2 linked regions of the Neodiprion lecontei genome follow. The protein of the gene in region 2 purifies or fractionates together with the protein of the main gene of each other region. This does not show direct contact. Links are inferred from orthologs where the notes say so. Each region holds a gene or a part of one and is shown on either strand. Other genes may lie near its edges.

Region 1 (3,692 bases), about 36 Mb from region 2:
TGCACTGGGTCTTTTGGAATTACTATGAGGCATGTTTTTGCAAGCCACTGCTGTAGCAACCAAGGTATGCCAGAACAATTTTGAGTTTCACGTAACTACACTTTGGTTCATTTTGGTATCTATACCAGTGCCTCGCCAAAATATGCCTATATAGCCAAGTGTTTGATTCAATGGTTTGGTCATCCCGCCAAAAAAGATGGAAGACGGTAAGGCTCAGAACCAATTGAAAAATGAGGCATTCGAAGACTTTCACTTTATACTATAAAATAGCAAAAATATCAGCAAATTACATACTGCGTGCAATCGTTTAGCGTGAGATATTTGAACAATAAGCGTAATGTACAATCGATATGGGTGATTTGCGTACCTTCCACAATTTGACTAAACCCGGGAAATTTCAGATGAGCTCAAACACGCGAAAACACAGTCATTCACGAACTGTCACAGACTGACTCCGTGGGCCGTGAACACCACCTTACATGCCCTACGCCACGAACGCTATACAGACTAGACCGCACGCGACGAAGTGGGGGCCGGTGTGAGAGAGATAGTTGTGTTCTAAATTCCGGGCTACAAACATCAGTCCTGTGCATCGCACATCAATGTTTAAAGCCGTTGTGAGACTAACGAAGGGAAGAAAAGTACATATTAGAAATAAGAACATATAATTTGAAATTCTTTTATTCAATTCTCGGATATATTCCTGCCCAATTATCTTTATTTAAATATATGTGCGCGGCTCGATAATTAATTCCATTCCAATGTTTTAAATGGAATCACTATTTCATCTGAACAAAATTTATAAAAATAAAACCACGTTTAACTGTCGCTTGAAGCTTTCAAGCACCCCAACTGATACACTAGTCTTTTGCTCTGACGGTCAATATTTATATGCGAGAAAAATAATATGCAATGTCCAACATAACCTAACTTAGCAATAAACTTAAGCTGGATCTCAAGCACGGTTTAAGGATGTATTTTTTATAGTGATGGAATTGCTGTACGAAAGACTAAGTGCAGATTTATAGATGAAAACAAACATGAAGTTATCAACAGAATAATAAATACATTGTTTTCATTTTATTTGTATTACTCGTACACATAACCATCGAGACTGGCGGGGGAAAGGGGGGGATATACGATGATGGCAACCGTTTATATCGGTTTTATTTTGAAGTGGAGACCGATGAGCGAAAACACGAGGCACTTGAGGTCCTGGACGAGGTAATAGAAGCATCGTAGTCCTTCCGGATCCCTGGATTGATTGACGTCTAGTAGCGAACCAGTTTTAGATGTTGTGAATGAAATGTGTTCGTCTCCGATGACAATTTCCAATTCTTGTCGACCGACTCTGTCCGGTTGCGGCCATAGAGAATCATCCTCTTGCATTATTTCCGAATCCTGTATTATCCTCTTCAGTTCTTCCATAACGCAGTTGTGAACGTACGCTTCCTTGCGGATCATCGTGTCGTTTTTGTAGTTCGAATTGTTGGCGTACCTCAATTTTCCGTCTGGCCTGAATTCGAACTCGAGAAATTCGTGGCCGAATTTACCTTTGTGGCCTACGTAGTAGCGTATATAGAAATCTGTCGACATCTTCCTCTTTCCTCACTGACTTACTTTGCAATGTAATATAACCGCAAATTGCTTCACAACAAGTACGTGATCGATTAACTTCACAAAGCCAGTGTCGGACGCTAACCGCTCCTTTGCAATGCTGGAATGACACGATCAGCCTCGGAGCATAGAAATTTTAGATGGGCGATGGTTAGGTAGATTGGAAATTTGACGGTTCTCGGATTGGGTGAAAATGACGAATGTAGTGACTCACTCTGGGTATGTTCCGATATACACCGCGAGCACTGTTCAGTGCTCTTACTGGGGAGAAATTCGTTCCGTTATAGACTGACAGTATAGTCGCAGTATCCTAGGGAAATATATGACGTCATAAATTGTCGCCATTTTTCTGCTGTGAACACTGGTGTTTTCGAGGTAAGGTGCTCTCAGTGCTTTGATCACGTTATCAACAGCGTTCAGAAATTTAACAGCTTCCACTATTGATAATTATTATTATTGAATATTGTCATTTAAAAATACCGGCCGTTAAAAACAAAAATGGAAAATTTGAAGAAATTTTATCTATTGCAGTGTGAGACAAATATTATGTATGAAATGAAAGTAACGCCGAAAAATGTCGATCACAGTATACTGTACTGCGTTCCGTTTTAAACAGTAACCAGTATAGCTAACTATAAAGGAACGGCTTCGCAGTATACTAAATTGACGTCACACCTTACAGTGCTCGCAGTGTATAATACCCTCTATCATGGTCTTCCTAGAGAGTTTTTAGCACTGCCTACTGTATATGCTCTAACCCTGCCACCTAGTTTCGGAACGCACCATTGGAATGGAATAGCAAGCACAGGTTCCCGGTTTCAGTCATATACATATAGTTCAGTGTTTGGTTCAGTGTCGTTCAGTCAAGTTCAGTACTTCGTTCAGTGCAGTTCAGTACTTGGTTCAGTGCAGTTCAGTACTTGGTTCAGTGCAGTTCAGTTCTTTGTTGACGTTCACGAACGACCTGTCAGCGTCCATATTAAGCGTTCTGAAGTTAATTTATTAAAAAGAGATTAATTTAGTTCAACAAGTTAGAAGCAGCCGCAGATTAATCATGTCAATGGAGACTGTACCCAAAGATTTACGTGGATTGCGAGCATGTTTAGTCTGTTCACTGATTAAGGTAATGTTATCATCTCTTCCAAACATAACCAAACTTTGAGCCCAGTAAAAGCTATCCTATCTAGTCTATATATAATGGGTCTTTCTCTGTAAGTAGGCAACTCGCTGTCCCAGGCATTTTTATAACAAAAAGTTTTCAAGTAAACATTAAACAAAGTTATTTTTCGAAATATATAACAGTCATTTTTATGGATTTGATAACTTCGCCACCAAATTTCAATTAATTTATTTATTACAATTTTTGTAACACCTCGGAAAACAGTTTCCTGATGTGGCCCGAACTCAGTTTAGAGTTATAAGACAAAATATTTGCCGTTTGTTGCAATGTACCGAGATTTTTCTATAAGACGTTGGAAGTGTATTGTATAATGCATAATATTTTTTCATAATAATATTTTGATTTGATTTAGTTTTTGTCCTAATATGATTTAAAAAGTATCCCAAGGGTTCAAAAACAGTCCCTTGTAGCCGATTTAAAATATAATATAAAAATATTTACAAAAATGTACTATATTATATATATTTAATAGGCAAATCAATACCAATATTATAATACAAAACTAATGGTGTCTTTTCATTCGTTGCAATTTAAAAATGAACTTGACAGGAGACTGTTCAAATTCACCACCAAATTACAGAGAAAGACTCCTCTACCTTTTCAAATTTGCAAATTTCAATAATTATATAATCCATCTCACATTGAGTACTTATTTCTGCTTTAAAATATTACAGACGTTCGATCAGTTTGAATTTGACGGCTGCGATAACTGTGACGAATTTCTTCGCATGAAAAACAACAAGGATAACGTGTTTGATTGCACAAGCTCAAATTTTGATGGGTAAGTTCAATATTCATTTTTCTCAGTGTCTTAATTAGCTGATATTAATTTTTAAGCCCTATATAATTTTTTCGACTCATTTACATATTTTCTTTGTACGGTTTCAGAATGATT
Region 2 (4,294 bases):
CACCGTTGCTATATTTTCTTGCAACTGTTGCGAAAATTTAATGCTTGTGCAACAATAAATTGCTGTTAATGCCTTGTTTAGCTAAAAAATTAGAGTAAGCCTAACAAATTGATTTTGTGTTGCAATTACCAAAAAAGGATCGACAATAGCGCAAAATGGTTACGCGTACCTCGTTTTTCGTCATCCCAACGTCATTCAAACAGTTTTTTTTAACGATACCTGTTTTACTGAATTTCTCTAGTTTATATAGCAAATGAAATTTTTCTCAGTGTACGACAAATGGCACCATCGGAAAAGTAATTTTAATTGAGAGAGCGAAATTTCTCAAAATAGATCGAGCCTTGAAATCATCTAATATACATGTTTCAGCGTATCAATTATCATAGATGTGTTATTTTTTTTTCTTACACATACAGCGCATGGCACACTAATCTTCTGTGCATTGAAAACTGCCTAGCAATCTCACATTACAATTGTTCGGTCCTGCATACCCGAACGAACGTTTTTATAGTTTTATCGTAAGTTTAAGGTGAAGGTTCGGTACAATTGCTTGCTATGAGAAATACCTGTCCTAGAGGGTTCATGATTTTTTGTGCAGCTTGATTTGCATTCGCGAAGGACCCTCTACTATGGCCGAAAAAAAAAACCTATTACCATTTCACAAATTCTATCTTTTGACTCAATGAACATATCATCAAATTCATGCATCGTTTTTTAGATTGTAAGTTCTCATATGAATAAAAAAAAGGGAGCTCTAAGGAATAATCACCGGCTACGGCGTTTCGAATTTACGGTGCAAAATTTCGTTTTTGACGGTAAAAAAATCTTTTTCGTCGTCGTACCGAGTTGTGAATCTTTTTTCCTGCACAATTTCGCATAAAGAAAGTACTTCAAGAATGAAAAAAAAAATGCGACATTTTTTGTCAATTATTTATAATTCATTTACTTTATACATATGTTTCATCGAAAACCACTGTTCAAGGGACAGCAAAAATTATCGCGTTTCTCGTGAATGGAACAAAAATTTTTTTTTTAATTCACAGAAGATATGGCGATAAGTATTTTAGAAGAGTCCTGCGAGGTCTCATATTCTCAGAAAATATCATTGCCTTCCACGCGACATTGACCCTGACTCCGTGCCGATCCGGGCCTTCGCGTATTTTTTTCCATCCCTGGAGTACTTTTTTTTATACAAAATTGCGTATGAAAAAAGGTTCACAAACCGATGCGACGACGAAAAAGATTTTTTCACCGTCAAAAACGAAATTTTGCACGATTATTGCGCAGCGCTCCCGATTTAGTTATACCGTGCATACGAGAACTTGTAATATGAAATGTTACGCGTCGATTTCATGATATCTTCATTGAGTCAAAAGATAGAATTTGTGCAATGATCATAGATTAATTTTTTTATTTTTTGCAAATAAAGTTGCACAAAAAATCGTTAACCCTCTAGGACCGGTATTTCTCACAGCTATGAAGCGCACCGAAAACTCCCCTTAAAATTGTATCCAAAATAATGACTATTCTGGAAGGGAGTAATGACCCAGGCCACGTCACTCTGACCCTGCATTCCTGGACAGGAAATCGCATTTGGCGAGTCAATAACCGCGTTTCGGGACGACGTACCTGAAGACCATAATGACACCTTCTAGCAATTGTACAATCGTCGAAGCTTACCCCCAATTAACGCTGGCGCAGGTGTATCCGCATTTACGACACGCAGGTAGGCGCCACATGTACTACGTGCAGCAACCTTTCGGGGGAGGGCGGGGTCAAAGGAAATCGCAAGGGTCCTTTATTGTTCTATTTCCCACTTCGGACATACCTGCCCCTCCCTACCACTCGCGATGTGTCCAGCCTGTGGTATAAAAGTGCAGTTCGTCGTATGCAAAAATCAAATAGCAGAGAACCACCACGGAGTTCGCATCTTGCTGGTTCCTCGGTTGAATTTCCTCTGCAAACTCTAACAGTGAATTAGTCAGTGATAATTTCATCGATTCGATAACTTGCGAGTGTCCTGTGAACCGCGACGTGTGCAGTGTTGGATTCAAGTTGGCAAAGTGATCGCAAAGCCCCAACTGATAACTGATAAAAGTTGGATTATTTGATAACTGGCGAAAGGTGAATGAACAACTAGCTTGTGTACGGACAATTTCGTTGCATATAAGTTGCATATGCGTAAACGAATGTTACCTCGCTTGTGATTGTTTGAAATTTGTTCGCGCTTGTTTTCCGGCTATCCTAGCATTAGTTCGTGATTCAAACGAAGCTGGTAATACGCGAACGCCATCTGTGGTTGAAAACCAGACGCAGCAACGCTTGTTAAATCAAAGCGTTTGTGATCGTAGGGAAGAAAAGTGGAAAAATAGGGAATCGAGAACTATAGAACATTTCCTCGAATATACGTAAATTTGTGACTTAATTAGTATTTATAAGTGATAATGGCGTCAACGGACACGAAAAACGATCAAGGTATACTGAATTCTATCCTGTTTATCCATGATAAATCACCTTGAATCATATCTTTCTTTTTCTAACCTCAAACATTATAAACAATTATATATAGAATCATTCCGAACAACAATGTTTACAGCATTAATCGACGTGCTAAGCTCAGTTTTCACCTGTTTCACCTCAACCATCGAAATGATAGCACCATATTTGTTGTTACATATTAAATTTTATTCTTTTCGTTACTGTTATTGTTGGCATCATTCATTGTTTATTATTGTTCACGTTAAATTTGGCAACTAAGCTTAGCAGTTTGAATTTTGAATCTAATGAATCGATTGCTTACTTTGTTAAATAAATAGCCGTTGACCTTATATTTTTATTTACATGCCAACTATAGAGAAAGATTTCTTTGACGCAGGTGGATCATTCATTCCGGCAAGTCAGCGTCCGGATGGCACTTGGCGCAAACAGCGAAGAGTAAGGGACGGCTACATACCTCAAGAAGAGGTTCCACTGTAAGTATAAATACATTCGAATAGATAATCGAAGAAAAAATTATGGAAAATTTTTCATTCAATGTCAATGATTCATGTTTGTTGTACTTCAGCTACGAGAGTAAGGGCAGGCAATTCAGTAGAAATCGGCCTAGTTATCCTGTTGGAATGACCGCTGAGTTTGTGGCGGCCCACAAAGCAAGGAGAGAAGCCGAAGCAGCAAAGTCGGCGCAGATACCAGGTCTGGTAAAAGCAAACGATAACAAAAAGAAGAAAAAGAAGAGTAAGAGTAAAGCAGTCGACGCAGTGACGGAAGGTCTCTCTAAAACGACAATATCACCACCCGTTGTAGAGAATGGCAAATCGGCGAAGCCGAAATGCCAGAAAAAGCCGGTGACCAACGACACAAATGTTATTCCGACCCCAAGCAATAGCTTGCCCACTCAAAACACAGATCCAGCGAAAAGGCTCAAAAACTTGAAAAAAAAGTTAAGAGAGATTGAAACCATAGAGCAGAAGATAAAATCAGGAGAATTGAAAATTCTTGAGAGAGAATTGTACGACAAAGTCATGAGGAAAACAGAGGTTCTAAAAGATATTGAACAGCTGGAAGCAAACCACTAAACGGCTATCAAACTCCTATTTTATTATTATTATTGTTACTTTGAGTTTTTCTGCTTTTTACACTTGTCACCCTTTATCGGTACAAAATGTAATTGTGCCATTTAGGATAATTATTGATGTTTGCTGTTTTATTATATTAATATTGAGTGGAATTTCGAAATAATTATGATAATAGTAGGAATAATAATTATTGTTGTAACATAGTTTTCAAAACTATTCGTACTGTACAGTAAATTCTCTATCCTTGAAATGCACGTGATAATTATTTGAAAAATAACGATGTATAATCTAAATTAGTATGTTATATGATTTTTATTTAATGTATATGTATACATTTTTGGCTAAATGCTTACATGAGCATTTTAACGAATTATTGTAACAATCAACAAGTACAAGTACTTGATGTGCATAACTTTAACTGTATTAACCGAAGACCTGAAATTCATAAATTTATTATGAAATATCGATGATACTAAATGTTGAAGGAAATATAGAATAAAAATTATCATTTAAAAAATTCCCCGTAATGTTCAAGCTAGTGTAACAATAGATTAGATTAGAATACTCCCAAATTTTATTAGCAAATAAAATAAATTCATCATCATTGACCAAATGTTTAATAAAACAGAGATGATTTAAACATAACCAAGTATGTTCTTTTATCCTTATCACCTCTGCTACACTCTGTAACTTCCTCGAAGATGACCACCTTATAATAC

What was found. Proteins that work in one complex are often made in the same cells at the same time.
Region 1: the proteins of partner of Y14 and mago (region 2) and protein mago nashi homolog purify together in Drosophila melanogaster (affinity purification with western blotting; 4 studies listed by BioGRID, with this or other methods). This does not show direct contact. The link is inferred for Neodiprion lecontei from reciprocal best matches to the Drosophila melanogaster genes Pym and mago.

Annotation. Positions count from the first base shown.
Region 1 is NC_060261.1:3,555,291-3,558,982, reverse strand, and holds protein mago nashi homolog, read right to left. Parts: upstream 1,750-3,692; 5' UTR 1,597-1,749; coding exon 1,156-1,596; 3' UTR 666-1,155; downstream 1-665. Other genes in the region: transcription elongation factor SPT4, read left to right, coding at 2,672-2,740, 3,472-3,578, 3,686-3,692. UniProt on the Drosophila melanogaster protein: Core component of the splicing-dependent multiprotein exon junction complex (EJC) deposited at splice junctions on mRNAs. Involved in exon definition of genes containing long introns, including the rolled/MAPK gene.
Region 2 is NC_060261.1:39,573,656-39,577,949, forward strand, and holds partner of Y14 and mago, read left to right. Parts: upstream 1-2,156; 5' UTR 2,157-2,444; coding exon 2,445-2,475; intron 2,476-2,875; coding exon 2,876-2,972; intron 2,973-3,064; coding exon 3,065-3,575; 3' UTR 3,576-3,579; downstream 3,580-4,294. UniProt on the Drosophila melanogaster protein: Regulator of the exon junction complex (EJC), a multiprotein complex that associates immediately upstream of the exon-exon junction on mRNAs and serves as a positional landmark for the intron exon structure of genes and directs post-transcriptional processes in the cytoplasm such as mRNA export, nonsense-mediated mRNA decay (NMD) or translation.